Callithrix jacchus: one gene and its partners. The protein of the gene in region 1 interacts with the protein of each later gene in a pairwise test. Links are inferred from orthologs where the notes say so. Each region holds a gene or a part of one and is shown on either strand. Other genes may lie near its edges.

The links.
Region 2: the proteins of PDCD4 (region 1) and EIF4A2 interact in binary tests that used the Homo sapiens proteins (3 or more experiments, as listed by UniProt). The two-hybrid records come from large-scale screens. The link is inferred for Callithrix jacchus from reciprocal best matches to the Homo sapiens genes PDCD4 and EIF4A2.
Region 3: the proteins of PDCD4 (region 1) and EIF4A3 interact in binary tests that used the Homo sapiens proteins (3 or more experiments, as listed by UniProt). The two-hybrid records come from large-scale screens. The link is inferred for Callithrix jacchus from reciprocal best matches to the Homo sapiens genes PDCD4 and EIF4A3.

Annotation. Positions count from the first base shown.
Region 1 is NC_133513.1:103,838,063-103,842,699, forward strand, and holds part of PDCD4 (programmed cell death protein 4), read left to right. Parts: intron 1-202; coding exon 203-310; intron 311-520; coding exon 521-631; intron 632-2,020; coding exon 2,021-2,160; intron 2,161-4,637. UniProt on the Homo sapiens protein: Inhibits translation initiation and cap-dependent translation. May excert its function by hindering the interaction between EIF4A1 and EIF4G. Inhibits the helicase activity of EIF4A. Modulates the activation of JUN kinase.
Region 2 is NC_133516.1:15,754,138-15,760,221, forward strand, and holds the end of EIF4A2 (eukaryotic initiation factor 4A-II), read left to right. Parts: intron 1-606; coding exon 607-775; intron 776-884; coding exon 885-994; intron 995-1,201; coding exon 1,202-1,345; intron 1,346-1,374; exon of another isoform or gene 1,375-1,552; intron 1,553-1,866; coding exon 1,867-2,004; intron 2,005-2,044; exon of another isoform or gene 2,045-2,177; intron 2,178-2,240; coding exon 2,241-2,330; intron 2,331-2,355; exon of another isoform or gene 2,356-2,493; intron 2,494-2,552; coding exon 2,553-2,632; intron 2,633-3,058; exon of another isoform or gene 3,059-3,169; intron 3,170-3,879; coding exon 3,880-4,024; 3' UTR 4,025-4,657; downstream 4,658-6,084. Other genes in the region: RFC4 (replication factor C subunit 4), read right to left, coding at 4,715-4,810, 4,885-4,998, 5,074-5,154. UniProt on the Homo sapiens protein: ATP-dependent RNA helicase which is a subunit of the eIF4F complex involved in cap recognition and is required for mRNA binding to ribosome.
Region 3 is NC_133506.1:135,876,441-135,881,535, reverse strand, and holds the end of EIF4A3 (eukaryotic initiation factor 4A-III), read left to right. Parts: intron 1-599; coding exon 600-738; intron 739-1,356; coding exon 1,357-1,472; intron 1,473-2,465; coding exon 2,466-2,573; intron 2,574-2,671; coding exon 2,672-2,799; intron 2,800-3,270; coding exon 3,271-3,287; 3' UTR 3,288-3,543; downstream 3,544-5,095. UniProt on the Homo sapiens protein: ATP-dependent RNA helicase. Involved in pre-mRNA splicing as component of the spliceosome. Core component of the splicing-dependent multiprotein exon junction complex (EJC) deposited at splice junctions on mRNAs.

The DNA of each region.
Region 1 (4,637 bases):
AATTATGAACCATTTAAAAATTGGAGATTTATTTTTTAATTATGAAAAATTCTGTTAATAGTACCATGTCCAGTCTGTGTATTATTAGCTGTTTGTTACCTACTATTTCATTATATTGGGATGAGAGCAGATAATCCTGTAGGCAAGCACACTTTTTTAAAAGTTAGGAATTCTAACACATCTCAACTTTTAAATCTAATAGATTGATATGCTGCTGAAAGAATATTTACTCTCTGGAGATATATCTGAAGCTGAACATTGCCTTAAGGAACTGGAAGTACCTCATTTTCACCATGAGCTTGTATATGAAGTAAGATTACCTTGCCATATCTAAAAGAATTAAGTATTTCATGTTGTACCACAGTGATTTATGCTTTTTTAAATAATATACATCTTTTTAATGTCAAAGGAGGAATTGGTTTTTAAATTTTTATGATTACAAAAGGCATCTGGTACATTTTAGGAGCAGTTTTGTCTATGAATAACCAAAAATTCACTCATTCGTTCATTCAATTTTTAGGCTATTATAATGGTTTTAGAGTCAACTGGAGAAAGTACATTTAAGATGATTTTGGATTTATTAAAGTCCCTTTGGATGTCTTCTACCATTACTGTAGACCAAATGAAAAGAGTAAGTATAACATTATTTTTGAATAATTTTTAGGATTATGCTTTCAATATATGATTGAATAAAGATTATTAATTGTCAATGAAATTTTCTTTAGGTATATTTAGTGTTATTATGCCTATATGTTTTGTGTTTTCTTAATAGTAATGTTTGAGGTTTGAATCTTTTGCAACCATTTCTTGGAAATTAACACTGCAGTGGGTTTTCTACCTACTTTAACAAATGTGATTATGTACTCTACCTCAAAGGTTCAGTTTCTAAGATGTGACAAGTTCTATTTTATATCTAGAGAGAAACATGAACTTTTAACACATTATAAAGTACTTTTTTCCTATTTAAAATTTTATGTATTGTTGTTTAAATGTTGGTCAGGTTTTTACTTTTTTTGCCTTGTATTTTTTTTAAAGATACTAAATGTATATAGAGAAGTAGATGGCAAAGGAGTTTGCTCAGTATCTGATGTCTGCCTGCAGCTCTTTTGAGAGAACAGTATTTAACATTTTTTTCGCTATGTAACCAATTTTACTTATTATATTTTTAATTTTAGATATCAGAGGGGTATATGTGCAGGTTTGTTAGATGGGTATATTGTGTGATGCTGAGGTTTGGGCTTCTAATTAATGATCCTGTCCCTCAGGTAGCAAACATAGTACCTGATAGGTAGTTTTCAACTCTTGTCCTCTTTCCCTGTCCCCGCTTTTGAAATTCCCAATGTTTATTGCTTCCATCTTCATGTCTCTGTGTACCCAGTGTTTAGCTCCCACTTATAAGTGAGAACATGCATTACTTGGTTTTATGTTTATGATAATTTTCTTAGGGTAATGGCCTGCAGCTGCATTCACGTTGCTGCACAGTACATGATTTCATTCTTTTTTATGGCTGGGTAGCATTCCATGGGCGTATATGTACCACATTTTGTCTAATCTGCCATTGATGGGCACTTGAGTTGACTCCATGTCTTTGCTCTTGTGAATAGTACCCAATAAATATACAAATGTAGGTGTCATTCTGGTAGAATGATTTCTTTTCCTTTGGGTATACACCCAGTAATGGGATTGTTGGGTTGAATGGCAATTCTGTCTTGAGTTCTTTGAGAAATCTCCGAACCATTTTCTACAGGGGCTGCATTCCCACCAACAGTGTATAAGCCTTCTGTTTTCTCTACAACTTGCCAATGTCTGTTATTTCCTGACTTTAATAAAGAGAACAGTTTTAAAGTAAAATAGTGTAACAAATCTACTACTTTCTGTGCTTCTCGGGATTCAAATCTGGCTTCAGTTTAACCATATGAACATTTGGCCTTAAATGTAGATTGATGACATAGTGATGGGTTGTGTTTTATGACACGTATTATATGGGCTAACAGTTCTTTGTGTAATTTCATTGTTGTAGGGTTATGAGAGAATTTACAATGAAATTCCGGACATTAATCTGGATGTCCCACATTCATACTCTGTACTGGAGCGGTTTGTAGAAGAATGTTTTCAAGTTGGAATAATTTCCAAACAACTCAGAGATCTTTGTCCTTCAAGGTACTTTATTTAAATACTACTTTCTCAATATTAAATAGTGGATGAGGTCTTTGGGAAGGTTAAGGGCTAAGATAGTTTATCATTCCAGCTCTTTAAGAAAAATATCTTCCCTTAAGTTACTGAAGAGCGTGACTCGTGTTTGTTTTGAGTTCATGGAAAAACAAGGGCGAAGCTTGTTTTAGCCCCCTTGTAAATCTGTACAGGACTGCCTCATGAAGTCCCAGTTCATTTGAAGGAAACTAATTTTGTGGAGCAGTTCCTTTGTTACAAGTAGTTTCAGTGTTATTTTAGAGTAGGTATTATCAGTAATAAGATGAGAAAATTGAGGCTTAGGAAGGTATAATGTACTTTTTCTGAGGTCACATGGCTAGTATGTGGTAAAAGCCAAGTATGAATCCAGGACTTTTCTGGCTTTAAAGATCTAGGCTGTTATCTGTACTGTATGTGGCTTCCTTGACTTCTTTACAGGTTGGAGAATTGAGGCTAATTGGATGTTCTCACTGGAAAGTGGGTCTATGTGTGGATGTTCTCACTGCAAAGTGTGTGGGTGTGTGGGGATGTTCTCACTGGAAAGTGTATGTGTGGGTGTATGTGGGGATGTTCTCACTGGAAAGTGTATATGTGGGTGTATGTGGGGATGTTCTCACTGGAAAGTGGGTGTGTGGTTGTGTGTGGGGATGTTCTCACTGGAAAGTGTATGTGTGGGTGTATGTGGGGATGTTCTCACTGGAAAGTGGGTGTGTGGTTGTGTGTGGGGATGTTCTCACTGGAAAGTGTATGTGTGGGTGTATGTGGGGATGTTCTCACTGGAAAGTGTATGTGTGGGTGTATGTGGGGATGTTCTCACTGGAAAGTGGGTGTGTGGTTGTGTGTGGGGATGTTCTCACTGGAAAGTGTATGTGTGGGTGTATGTGGGGATGTTCTCACTGGAAAGTGTATATGTGGGTGTATGTGGGGATGTTCTCACTGGAAAGTGGGTGTGTGGTTGTGTGTGGGGATGTTCTCACTGGAAAGTGTATGTGTGGGTGTATGTGGGGATGTTCTCACTGGAAAGTGGGTGTGTGGGTGTGTGTGGGGATGTTCTCACTGGAAAGTGTATATGTGGGTGTATGTGGGGATGTTCTCACTGGAAAGTGGGTGTGTGGTTGTGTGTGGGGATGTTCTCACTGGAAAGTGTATATGTGGGTGTATGTGGGGATGTTCTCACTGGAAAGTGTATGTGTGGGTGTATGTGGGGATGTTCTCACTGGAAAGTGTATGTGTGGGTGTATGTGGGGATGTTCTCACTGGAAAGTGTATATGTGGGTGTATGTGGGGATGTTCTCACTGGAAAGTGTATGTGTGGGTGTATGTGGGGATGTTCTCACTGGAAAGTGTATGTGTGGGTGTATGTGGGGATGTTCTCACTGGAAAGTGTATGTGTGGGTGTATGTGGGGATGTTCTCACTGGAAAGTGGGTGTGTGGTTGTGTGTGGGGATGTTCTCACTGGAAAGTGTATATGTGGGTGTATGTGGGGATGTTCTCACTGGAAAGTGTATGTGTGGGTGTATGTGGGGATGTTCTCACTGGAAAGTGTATGTGTGGGTGTATGTGGGGATGTTCTCACTGGAAAGTGTATGTGTGGGTGTATGTGGGGATGTTCTCACTGGAAAGTGGGTGTGTGGTTGTGTGTGGGGATGTTCTCACTGGAAAGTGTGTGGCCAGTACCCTGGCATTGGCCTTTTGAAAGTTTTTCAGCCTCTGTTTCAAAGTCTGTGTGGCTTTATTCTCAAGGGTCACATGAGGAGATAACTAAACTTTCTGTTTATACATACCATACTGCTTTGACTTTTGTCCTTTATCTTTTAGCCTATTTGGGTGAGGTGCATATTTGTGTGTGGTTTTGCATGCTTGTGCATACTGGCCTGCAGTCAGAGAGTAAGGGCTAATGTTGCCCAAGTTCTATTTCCCACTTACTGTTTTAGGCCACTGTCCAGCTGTTCCTTCTGGGCTGTTGCTACTACATGTAGCTGGAGTGTGGGCTTATATATTATAGAGCAGGGCTTCTAAATGGAGCATAGGCTATAATTCTGATTTGTTTTTCCCACATTCAAGTTACCGTTTTTCTATAGCTGATACAAGATTTTTTTAAATTGTCAAACATGGATATTTTGATAGATTCCACAGCTCCAGTTTGCATAATTCTGAATTATGTTAGTGTTTCCTATTTGGCTCACTGTTAAGTTTACAGATAATAATAATGTAGAAATAAATATTAAACTTCTAAATAAAATAAAATGTTTGCTTTAGTTTGACATCAACTTTTTAAATGTGATTATTTGGATAGTGCTAAAAAAAACAAACTCAGATTTGACATTGATGTTTTTATGCTTTTATAGAGTAGGGAATCCTTTCCAAAGGAATTAGAGGTATGCTGATTTTTTTTTTTAAAGGAAAACCCTTTAAAAGCTAATATGTAACCAAAAAATACCAAGTT
Region 2 (6,084 bases), on another chromosome or scaffold:
TAGGGTTGTACATGAATAGCTTGAGAATCGGAAGCTCTCTGGATATACTAGATCTGTCCCCATTTTTTAAGTTTGAATGCAGTTGTGCAACATGAAAACTGCAGTGACATGTTACCATTTGACTGTCTCCGTAGTTTGTGATGCATCTGTTGCATGCTATGTTTTCAAAGCTCACTGCTATATTGGCTTTGAAGTAAACCTTCCTAATAAAGCTGTAGGCTTTATTGAGGTCAAGATTATGTAGGGCACAATACTCTCTGGGGAAGAAAAAAATCAACATTTGCCCTAGCTGTAATTACAGAACATATATTTCACTATGGATTCCTTCGTTCACACAGTGAAGAATAATGTAGGAAATGTTATTCTTGAATTGTCTAGCTGATGTGTGGGGCAACAGCATCCCAAGTCTGACAAGGCACAAGAAAGACATAAAGGGAATTTTACATTGAAGCAGTTAGGTCAGTGTGCATTTTAAGCTTGGAAGTAGATTTGTGCTGTGCATGCATAAAAGCTGTTGGCAGACCAGATTATATTTGCCATTATGCTTTAAAAATTAGTCATTGACCCTGGAATTCTGCAGGATAATAATTAAGCCTTGGTTTTTAGATCCAAAAGGTAATTCTGGCACTTGGAGACTATATGGGAGCAACTTGCCATGCCTGCATTGGTGGAACAAATGTTCGAAATGAAATGCAAAAACTGCAGGCTGAAGCACCACATATTGTTGTTGGTACCCCTGGGAGAGTGTTTGATATGTTAAACAGAAGATACCTTTGTAAGTATTGTCTTTAAATGTATGCTTTTTTTTTTTAACTGTTACATAGTTGAAAAGTCGTACTATCACCCAGTAGATCTAGAGATGACATATGGCCTTTTTCTAACAGCTCCAAAATGGATCAAAATGTTTGTTTTGGATGAAGCAGATGAAATGTTGAGTCGTGGGTTTAAGGATCAAATCTATGAGATTTTCCAAAAACTAAATACAAGTATTCAGGTAAGGATTACTTCACCCCTCTCTTAAAGAGATGTGGTTTAATGCAGGTGCTGTTACAAATACATCTGGCATGTTTTATTGTCGTTCCCCCTGCTTAAAGCACTTGATGCATAACTATTTCTGTCTTAACTACATACCATAATAAGACAATCGTCCTTTGGGTATTACTGTGTAAGCTGTGCTTCAACATAATTGTCTCTCTTTAAGGTTGTGTTGCTTTCTGCCACAATGCCAACTGATGTGTTGGAAGTGACCAAAAAATTCATGAGAGATCCAATTCGAATTCTGGTGAAAAAGGAAGAATTGACCCTTGAAGGAATCAAACAGTTTTATATTAATGTTGAGAGAGAGGTAACTGTCTGATTGTTAGATGTTATTTTGCCTTCTTGTATAAGCACTGTGCTAAAATTGCAGATACTAGGACTGTATCTTGGTTTTTGCAATAATGCTAGCAGAGTACACACAAGAAGAAAAGTAACAGCACTAGATTGTAAAGACTCGGGTGGACCTCTTTCTTAATGTCCAGTGTCCTTTGTCTTAAGATTTGGTGCAATAGCTCATTAGACCTACAGAATAAATTTAATTTCTAAAATTTCTGTATTACAAGACTGGTTAATTTTGGTATTTTTGGTGGAGACAGGGTATCACTATCTTAGCCAGGGTGGTCTGGAACTTCCTGGGCTGAAGTGATCCGCCTGCTTTCCAAAGTGCTGGGAGTACAGGTATAAGCTACCATACCTGCACCAGAGTGAATTCTTTTTTTTTTAAACACTGGGGACAGGGGCATCTGGATTTGAACTAGGGCCAGAATGAATTTTTAACTGAAGAAAGTTGGAAACTAAATGACTGTTAATTTTCTCTTCTAAACATAGGAATGGAAGTTGGATACACTTTGTGACTTGTATGAGACACTGACCATTACACAGGCTGTTATTTTTCTCAATACAAGGCGCAAGGTGGACTGGCTGACTGAGAAAATGCATGCCAGAGACTTCACAGTTTCTGCTCTGGTAAGAGGTTTTCTAAATTAAAATGTCTAGATTTCCACTAAAGCAGGATTTAGACTACAATATAGCTGTTAAGTGCTGTGTTGTCGTTCCCCCTGCTTAAAATAACGTTGTTTCTTAACTATACCTGTCTGCTATTCTCCTTGTAGCAGCCAGGGACGCTTGGTCTCATACATGTTAATTAGAATTAAATACTGACCTGACTGGTGATTCTTGAATTAAGGTTTATTAATTTGCAGCATGGTGACATGGACCAGAAGGAGAGAGATGTTATCATGAGGGAATTCCGATCAGGGTCAAGCCGTGTTCTGATAACTACTGACTTGTTGGTAAGTCTCAGTGCTTCTTAAAAATCTACCAAAAGTTAACTTTTTGGGGGGAAGGTTTATTAAGTAACCTTTACCAGGTTGGGCTATTGGAAGAATAAATGACCACACTCCACAGTGGACTGTACCACTTATTATAGTTCGCTACTATTCTGTGGCCTACATTATTAGGTAGGTGTTCAGTTTTTTGGATTATAATTTTTAACATATGCCATTGTGTTTCAGGCTCGCGGGATTGATGTGCAACAAGTGTCTTTGGTTATAAATTATGATCTCCCTACCAATCGTGAAAACTATATTCACAGGTGAGAAGCCAGCATCTTGGCTGTATTGGAAAAAACTTTGTTTTTCTAATGTGGTTTGTATGAAAGAGTACATGTCAAATCAAGGAATAGATTGAGTAAAGTCAATAGTGTTCAGTAAGATGTAATTAAATTTGTACTAGGGAAGGCCGAAGAGAACAAAGTGGGAAAACTTGTAAACATTGCCCCGATTGTGGACATAGGTTTTTTACTCCCCACAGTTGTTGGTCTTAGTTTATGCTTGAGCTTTTAGTGATGTTCTTGTTTTCATGTGCTTTTTCTTGGTGATTTTTTTATAGTTGGGATTTTCGTGGTGTCGCCTGATAGCAGTTTGAGTGAACCCTGGTTTAGTTATAGTGGCTTTATCCCTAAATAAATTGAATTGTACTTTGTTATATGATGTAAAAAAAGACTTTTTAAAAAATACAGGAGTCGATAGCAGCAGTTGATGACGAGATGGCACTCAGAAACGGCGTTGACGTAATTTAGGACGTGGAATCATAAGCGAAACAGCACACTGTTTGAATAAAGAGCGAGTCGGTATTTATATTTGTTTTTCTTTTGTCATGATTATTTGATTACTTTAAGTTGTTCCAGCTAAGGCATTTTATTAGTATTTCTATTAGGGAACCTTTCCTATTAGGTGGTTTGTATTGTCTGGTTTCTAACATGGAAGGTAGCTATTTTGGAGGTTAAACACGTTTTGAGTAACTTGAGTTACAACGTGTGAAACTGAGCAAAAAAGCAGTGATTAAGTTTGGGTTACCATACCAAGTAATTGTTTTCCCACTGGAAAAAAGTAAGTTTTAGAATATAGTTAACCTTTGCAGCATTTGTTTACAGTTTACAGTTCCAGAGGTGCGTCGAAATGGATTACATAACTGCTCTTTGTTTTATTCCTGGTGTTTACATCTGTCCCAGGCTGACACCTGCTCTTGGCTGGCCCACTTTGGTATGGGCTTTAATTTCACTACCCCAAACACAATACTGTCATCTGCTTTGTAATAATGCTCAAGATGCCTGATAAAATCTCATTTTGCAGCCAGACAAGCCTTGAATCCTTTTGGCACTAACTGCAAAGGAAGATTTTTTTCTCTAGATATTAGCAGCTAGTGCTCCAGTTAGAAGCACGAACTATAACCTTGATAAGTAAACAGCAGCTGATGGTTAACAAGTGGATCGTCATGTTCAGTAGTTTATAATTACATGAGAAGTAACATTCTGACTGTGGTTTCTTTTTTCTTACACAGAATTGGCAGAGGGGGTCGATTTGGGAGGAAAGGTGTGGCTATAAACTTTGTTACCGAAGAAGACAAGAGGATTCTTCGTGACATTGAGACTTTCTACAATACTACAGTGGAGGAGATGCCCATGAATGTGGCTGATCTTATTTAATTCCTGGGATGAGAGTTTTGGATGCAGTGCTCGCTGTTGCTGAATAGGCGATCACAACGTGCATTGTGCTTCTTTCTTTGGGAATATTTGAATCTTGTCTCAATGCTCATAACGGATCAGAAATACAGATTTTGATAGCAAAGCGACATTAGTCGTGAGCTCTTGTGAGGAAAGTCATTGGCTTTATCCTCTTTAGAGTTAGACTGTTGGGGTGGGTATAAAAGATGGGGTCTGTAAAATCTTTCTTTCTTAGAAATTTATTTCCTAGTTCTGTAGAAATGGTTGTATTAGATGTTCTCTATCATTTAATAATCTACTTGTGGACTAAAAGATATAAGTGCTGTATAAAATCAGCCAATTATGTTAAACTAGCATATCTGCCTTTATTGTGTTTGTCATTAGCCTGAGTAGAAAGGCCTTTAAAATTTTTTTTTAGAAAGCATTTGACTGCATTTTGTTTGGTATTGTATTTATTCAATAAAGTATTTAATTAGTGCTAAGTGTGAACTGGACCCTGTTGCTAAGCCCCAGCAAGCAATCATCCTAGGTAGGGTTTAATCCCCAGTTAAATTGCCATATTGCACATGTCTTAATGAAGTTTGAATGTTAAATAAATTGTATATTCACTTTAAAGGTGCTTTTTGGTCATTTTATTTTTATAACCTCTATTTGCAAACAAAGAAATTGACGCTAACAGTTCTGAGATAACTGCTGCATCACAGTTGCACAAAGGCTGATCAGTTGCAAATGTTCATCGGCACCATCTGCTAGGCATTTGTCAGCTTCCTGCAAGAAAAACTCAGAAATTAGCATCCTTCAAGTATAAATGTTTCATTGACATGTGCAAAGTACCTACTTACAGCAAGTTTTTCTGTAATAATGGACTTCTGTTTATCAGGTAAGTTGTTCTCTACAACCACATCGTGGAGTTGACTGACAAGCTGAGTTGCTGCATGACCCTCGTCTATTAAGTCCTATAATTAAAAAAAAGTGTTTTTGGTAATGATCACTTAATACTCCTTGCCCAAAAGTTAGTAAGCTGACTTTACCTTGACCACAGCTTCTAGTTTGTCGAAAGAGCCACTCTGACAAGCAGCAAGTACTCCATCGATTTTCTCAGCTGGTATTACCTAGGTAATTAAACGTTAAGACTAGACAGAATGCAAATTCACCTCCCTGACCTCAGTCCCTTCTGTTCCACACTTGGAATACCTAGCTAATGTCCTGTTAATGCTGCAAAGTTGGGAAGGCACTGGGAGAATGAAAAGGGAGGACCAGAGTAACTCCAGTTACTAAGCAACCAAGGTGATAACAGCTGTGTTTGTAAAGCCCTTTCATGGCTGCTTTGTGACATATGAAACAATCGGCCCAAGTGATTATTACAGCTTGTTCTGGTCAGTGGATGAACATTAAGTTTTCCCCCAGTGACTTTCTAAAATTTTCGCCAAGTAAAAATGCCACTAATAATGGTTTAAAAAGTCTGCAATATCTGAAAATTAGAGGATTACCATTAATCTTAAATTTTTAAGTAGTAGTGATTCTGAGGTGAGTTTTGACATGGGTATCCAAAGACAGATGGAGTGCTCCATTTTATTAATATCACTATAAATTGGATACGCCTTTTGTTTATATACAACTGGCAAAATAGTTTTCACCTATAAGAACAGGACATCTGCTAAAACTGATTCAACTGCCAAAGAAAAGCATCTCATAAAATCTAAAACTGAAGGCCAGGCATGGTGGCTCCCACCTCCTGCAATCCCAGCACTTTGGGAGGCCGAGGTGGGTTGCGGTGGGGGCAGATAGATCACCTGAGGTCAGGAGTTCAAGACCAACCTGGTCAACATGGTGAAATGCCATCTCTACTAAAAATAGAAAAATTAGCCAGATGTGGTGGCAGGTACCTGTAATCCCAGCTACTTGTGAGGTGGAGGTTGCAGTGAGCTGGTATTGTGTCACTGCAATCAAGTCTGGGCAATAGAGCAAGACTCCATCTCAAAAAAAAAAAAAAAAAAAAAAAAAATAGAGGAAATCAAAGTGTCCTTTTCCTTCCTGAAATG
Region 3 (5,095 bases), on another chromosome or scaffold:
CAGGGTCTTGCTGTATTGCTGAGGCTTGTATCAAAATCTGGGCCTCAGGCCACACTGCCGGAGGTAAAGGAATTTAAAGCATGCAAGTTCTTTTAAAATTTGTGTTTTGAAAAACCAAATACTATCTTGGGCAGTATAGGGAGACGCCATCTCTACAAATAATAAAAAGTTAGCCAGGTCTGGTGGTTCACGCCTGTAGTCGAAGCTACTCAGAAGGCTGAGGTGGGAGGATCAATTGAGGCCAGGAGGTTGAGGCTACAGTGAGCTGTGATCGTGCCACTGCACTTCAGCCAAGGCAACAGACCCTGTCTCAAACAAAACCAAACAGAAAACCAGTTTTTATAATACTCATTCTGCTTTGAACCAGTAATCCCAAATTTAAACATTGGGTGATGGTATTTACTTATCATGTTTTAGTTAGAATCATTTCACGTGGTGCACATTGTGAAATGTTGAGTAGGGCATAGAATGGAGGCAGGATGGGGGACAGGGCTGGGTCTGCGCCAGGTATCAGGGTGTGACCTTCTCCACCGGGGTCTCCCTAGAGCCTGGCCTGCCCTCAGTCCTAGTGTGTGACAGGATTTGTCTTTGTCCTTCAGTGATGAATTGACTCTGGAAGGCATCAAGCAGTTTTTCGTGGCAGTGGAGAGAGAAGAGTGGAAATTTGATACTCTGTGTGACCTTTATGACACACTGACCATCACTCAGGCGGTCATCTTCTGCAACACCAAAAGGAAGGTAAGACGCATTATACTGCCTCCAGGTGCTTGAAGGGAAATTGAAGACTGAGTCTCTTAATGACTTAGATCAAGCTTTTTCAGTAAAGGGCCAGTTTGTCCATATTTTAAGCTTCCAGGATACGTGGTCTCTTGGGAAAGCAGCTGTAGACAGTATGCAAACGGTCAGACGTGGCTGTGACCATTCAAACTTTATTTACAGAACGACGACAACGTCAGCCACCTGAAAGACGCAGATTTTGTTGGTTTAAGGTGGAACCCAGGCCTGAGTGGTTTCAGATCCCTAGGTGATGCTCATTTGGAGGCAGACCTGAGAACTCTCGGCCACTCTCCTGAGAAAGGAAAGGAGTTGGGCTACATTCTAACAAGATTGGAATTTAAACTTAAATTTCAAATGAGAATGAGCAGACCTGGCCCCTTGCCCCATAGAATCATCATGTGGAGAAAATGAAGAGGGTTTTGTAGGGGCACCCGAACATTTTCTGGGGAAAGGTGTTTTTTGCACATCCAGTTAAGATGATTCTGAGTTTTAGGAGCAGTTACCTATGAATATTGACACTGGTTCAGCAGATGGTGGAGGTAAAATCCTGAATGCACATCTGTGGTTTGGCATTTGTAGGTGGACTGGCTGACGGAGAAAATGAGAGAAGCCAACTTCACCGTGTCCTCGATGCATGGAGACATGCCCCAGAAAGAGCGGGAGTCCATCATGAAGGAGTTCCGGTCAGGCGCCAGGTCGGTCAGCTGTGCTCTGCGGCTCTGCTGCTCAGGGTTTGCTGGATTGTATGGCAGGCAGTTTATGTGCACTGCTTCCGGGCAGGGCCCAGGCCTGGGGAGATGATGTGCCTGCTCCAGAGCCGAGGCCCTGGGTCAGCAGAATGCCTTCCCGCTAACGGGGTGGTCTGCTCTGCTCCTGTAATACTGAGGGTGATCTGGTAACTAGCCTTAACCAGCCAGGTTGGTCACCTTGGTTACAAGGGCGTGTCTTCTCTTCCAAATAAGGAGTGGTTTTGTGTTCATTTTTCTGATTAGTTGAATTCCTTAGTGGTCAGATAGCGTGGATTGTGTGGTTTCAGTCATCAGAATTTGATTCAGACTTCCTTCTCGGCCCACCTTGTGGTCAGCTGAAGAAATGTGCTGTGTGTACCCAGGCTGGGGAACATTGGCACAATCTTGGTTCACTATAGCCTCTGCCTCCTGGTTTAATGTGATTCCCATGCCTCAGCCTGCCGAGTAGCCTGAAATGGCTAATTTTTTTTTGTACTTTTAGTAGAGACGGGGTTTCACCATGTTGGCCAGGCTCGTTTTGAACTGCTGACCTCAGCTGATCTGCCTGCGTTGGCCTCCCAAAGTGCTGGGGTTACAGGCATGAGCCACCATGCCTAACCGAACTTACTGTTCTTAATTTTTTGCTAGGCAGAAGTAAAATATTTTTCCCAAATCCTGGTTTAGGACCAAGTAAATAAGTTAAAAAGGTAGTATAGTAAAAGATGTCTTTTTTTTATCTCATGGAGCACATGTCCGAAGTAACTAGATGCAGCAACAGCCTCTCTGCACAGGGGTTTCTGGTGCTGTCCCTGAGGCTTCATGTTTGCAGACTGGTATGAGGGGTGACCTCATACATTCTGGATTTGTAGCCAGGCTTCTTAAAATGAGCAGTGGAAGCAAGGCCAGTCTTACACTTTCATGAGTAATTTGATCGCCTTAAACAGTCTTTCTTTTTTGCAGCCGAGTGCTCATTTCTACAGACGTCTGGGCCAGGGGGTTGGATGTCCCTCAGGTGTCTCTCATCATTAACTACGATCTGCCCAATAACAGAGAATTGTATATACACAGGTAGGGGTGCAAGTTTTCATTGGCTTCACTTCTGTTGACACATTTACTGCATCTTTATTGCTATATATACTAACTGTAATATTGTTCGATTCTTGAAGAATTGGGAGATCAGGTCGGTATGGCCGGAAGGGTGTGGCCATTAACTTTGTGAAGAATGACGACATTCGCATCCTCAGAGACATCGAGCAGTACTATTCCACTCAGATCGATGAGATGCCTATGAACGGTAGGAAGTCGTTCAGCGTTACCGTAATTGTAACTACAGAGGGAACCTGCCTACTTTCAGTTTGTAGCCCTTGAGTTGGTTTGTTTGAATTGGAGTTTCACACTGTCACCCAGGCTGGAGTGCAATGGCGCTATCTCAGCTCACTGCAACCTCTGCCTCTTGGTTTCAAGTGATTCTCCCACTTCAGCATTTTTAGCAGCTAGGATTACAGGCGCTGGCCACCACAGCCAGCTAATTTTTGTATTTTTAGAGACAGGGTTTCATCATGTTGGCCAGGCTGGTTTTGAACTCCTGGCCTCAAGTGATCTATCTGCCTTCCTCGGCCTCCTAATGTGTTTGGGATTACAGGCAGGAGCCACTATGCCTGGCCTGTCTTTTGTTTTGAGAAGTCTGTTGTGAAGTTTTAGCTAAATTGACGTTAGGAGTTTTCATTTTGTTTGTATTGTTCCTTATCTGTATCTTCACTTTCAGTTGCTGATCTGATCTGAAGCCGCTGATCTGATCTGAAGCCGCTGATCTGTGAGGATGAGTGGAGACTGCTCACCTGCTGTGTATTCCTGTTTGAAAGCATTTAGGTCCAGCTTCTGTTGAGTGGGGTTGATGTGAACTCTCTTCTCATAAATGGTCTGCCCTCTCCCTTCCTCCGAAGAAGATATGGGGATTCTGCTCTCTTTTCTTATTTACATGTAAATAATACATCGTTCTAAGTCTTTTTCATTAAAAATATAAAACTTTTCCCATAAACTCTGATTTGTATTTCTAAGATGCCACCAGCTTTTCTAGTAACTTACTCTATGGTCTTGGGCCATTTCACTCACTTTTCTAATCTGTTTTTTTCTTTGGGAGAGTTTCAGTGTTGATGGGTTTTGCTCTGGCGCCGGGCTGAAGTGCGGTGGCGCCATCGCAACTCACAGCAGCTGCAGCCTCCTGGGCTCAAGCGATCCTCTCACCTCAGCCTCCTGAGTAGCTGGGACTAACAGGTGTCTGCCAGCACACCTGGCTAAGGTTTAAATTTTTGGTAGAGACAGGGTCTCACTGTGCCGCCTAGGTTGGTCGGTCACTCATGGGTTTAAGCGATTGCTTCTTCCATCTTGGCCTTACAAAGTGCTGGTATCACAGGTGTGAGCCACCGTGCCAGACCTCATTTTTCTAATTTTTTTTTTTTTGAGAGCCAGGATCTCACTCACTCACCCAGGCAGGAGTATAGGGGCGGGATCATCACTCACCACAGTGTTAACAAACTAAAACATAATTGTCTCTTTAAATATTTACATTATTAAAGTATTTAAGTTATCTGCTCAAATATTTAAAGTAATCATCTGTAGCTTTACAGGCACACAGCACCACACCTGCCTGATTATTAATTTTTAAAATGTTTTTAGAGACAGGGTCTCCCTCTGTTGACCAGACTGGTCTTATGGTCTTAAACTCCTGACTTCAAGCAGTCGTCCTGCCTCAGCCTTGCAGAGTGCTGGGATAACACGCATGAGCCAACATCCCGGCTCTAATAATTTGAAATGGAAATTTTAAAACTAACTGGCCCCTCCCTTCCCGAAATTGGTTGGAATGAGAATCTATTTCAGGGTTAGGGTGAGCTTGGAAATGTTTTTAAATTTCATCAGGTTGATTTTACTTGAAGGCATCTGAAATTGCATAGTTGATGCATGGAACTTCCTTTAACTGAAGCTTCCTTTCTGTGGCTGGTAGACCAACTGCATTACCAGGAGCTGGTTAGAAATGGAGATGCTCGGCTGGGCATGGTGGCTCACTCCTGTAATCTCAGCACTTTGGGAGGCAAAGGTGAGTGGATCCTGGCCAAGATGGTGAAACCTCATCTCTACTAAAAACACACAAAAAATTAGCCGGGCATGGTGGCGGGCACCTGTAATCCCAGCTACTTAGGAGGCAGAGGTTGCAGTGAGCCGAGATCGAGGCACTGCACTCCAGCCTGGGAGACAGATCGAGACTCTGTCTCTTAAAACAAAATAGGCCAGGCACGGTGGCTCACGCCTGTAATCCCAGCACTTTGGGAGGCCAAGGCTGGCGGATCACGAGGTCAGGAGATTGAGACCATCCTGGTCAACATGGTGAAACCCCATCTCTACTAAAAATACACAAAATTAGCTGGGCATGGTGGCTCGTGCCTGTAATCCCAGCTACTCAGGAGGCTGAGGCAGGAGAAGTGCCTGAACCCAGGAGGCGGAGGTTGTGGTGAGCCGAGATCGCGCCATTGCACTCCAGCCTGGGTAACGAGCGAAACTCCACCTCAAAAAAAAAAGTCCGGGCGCTGTGGTTC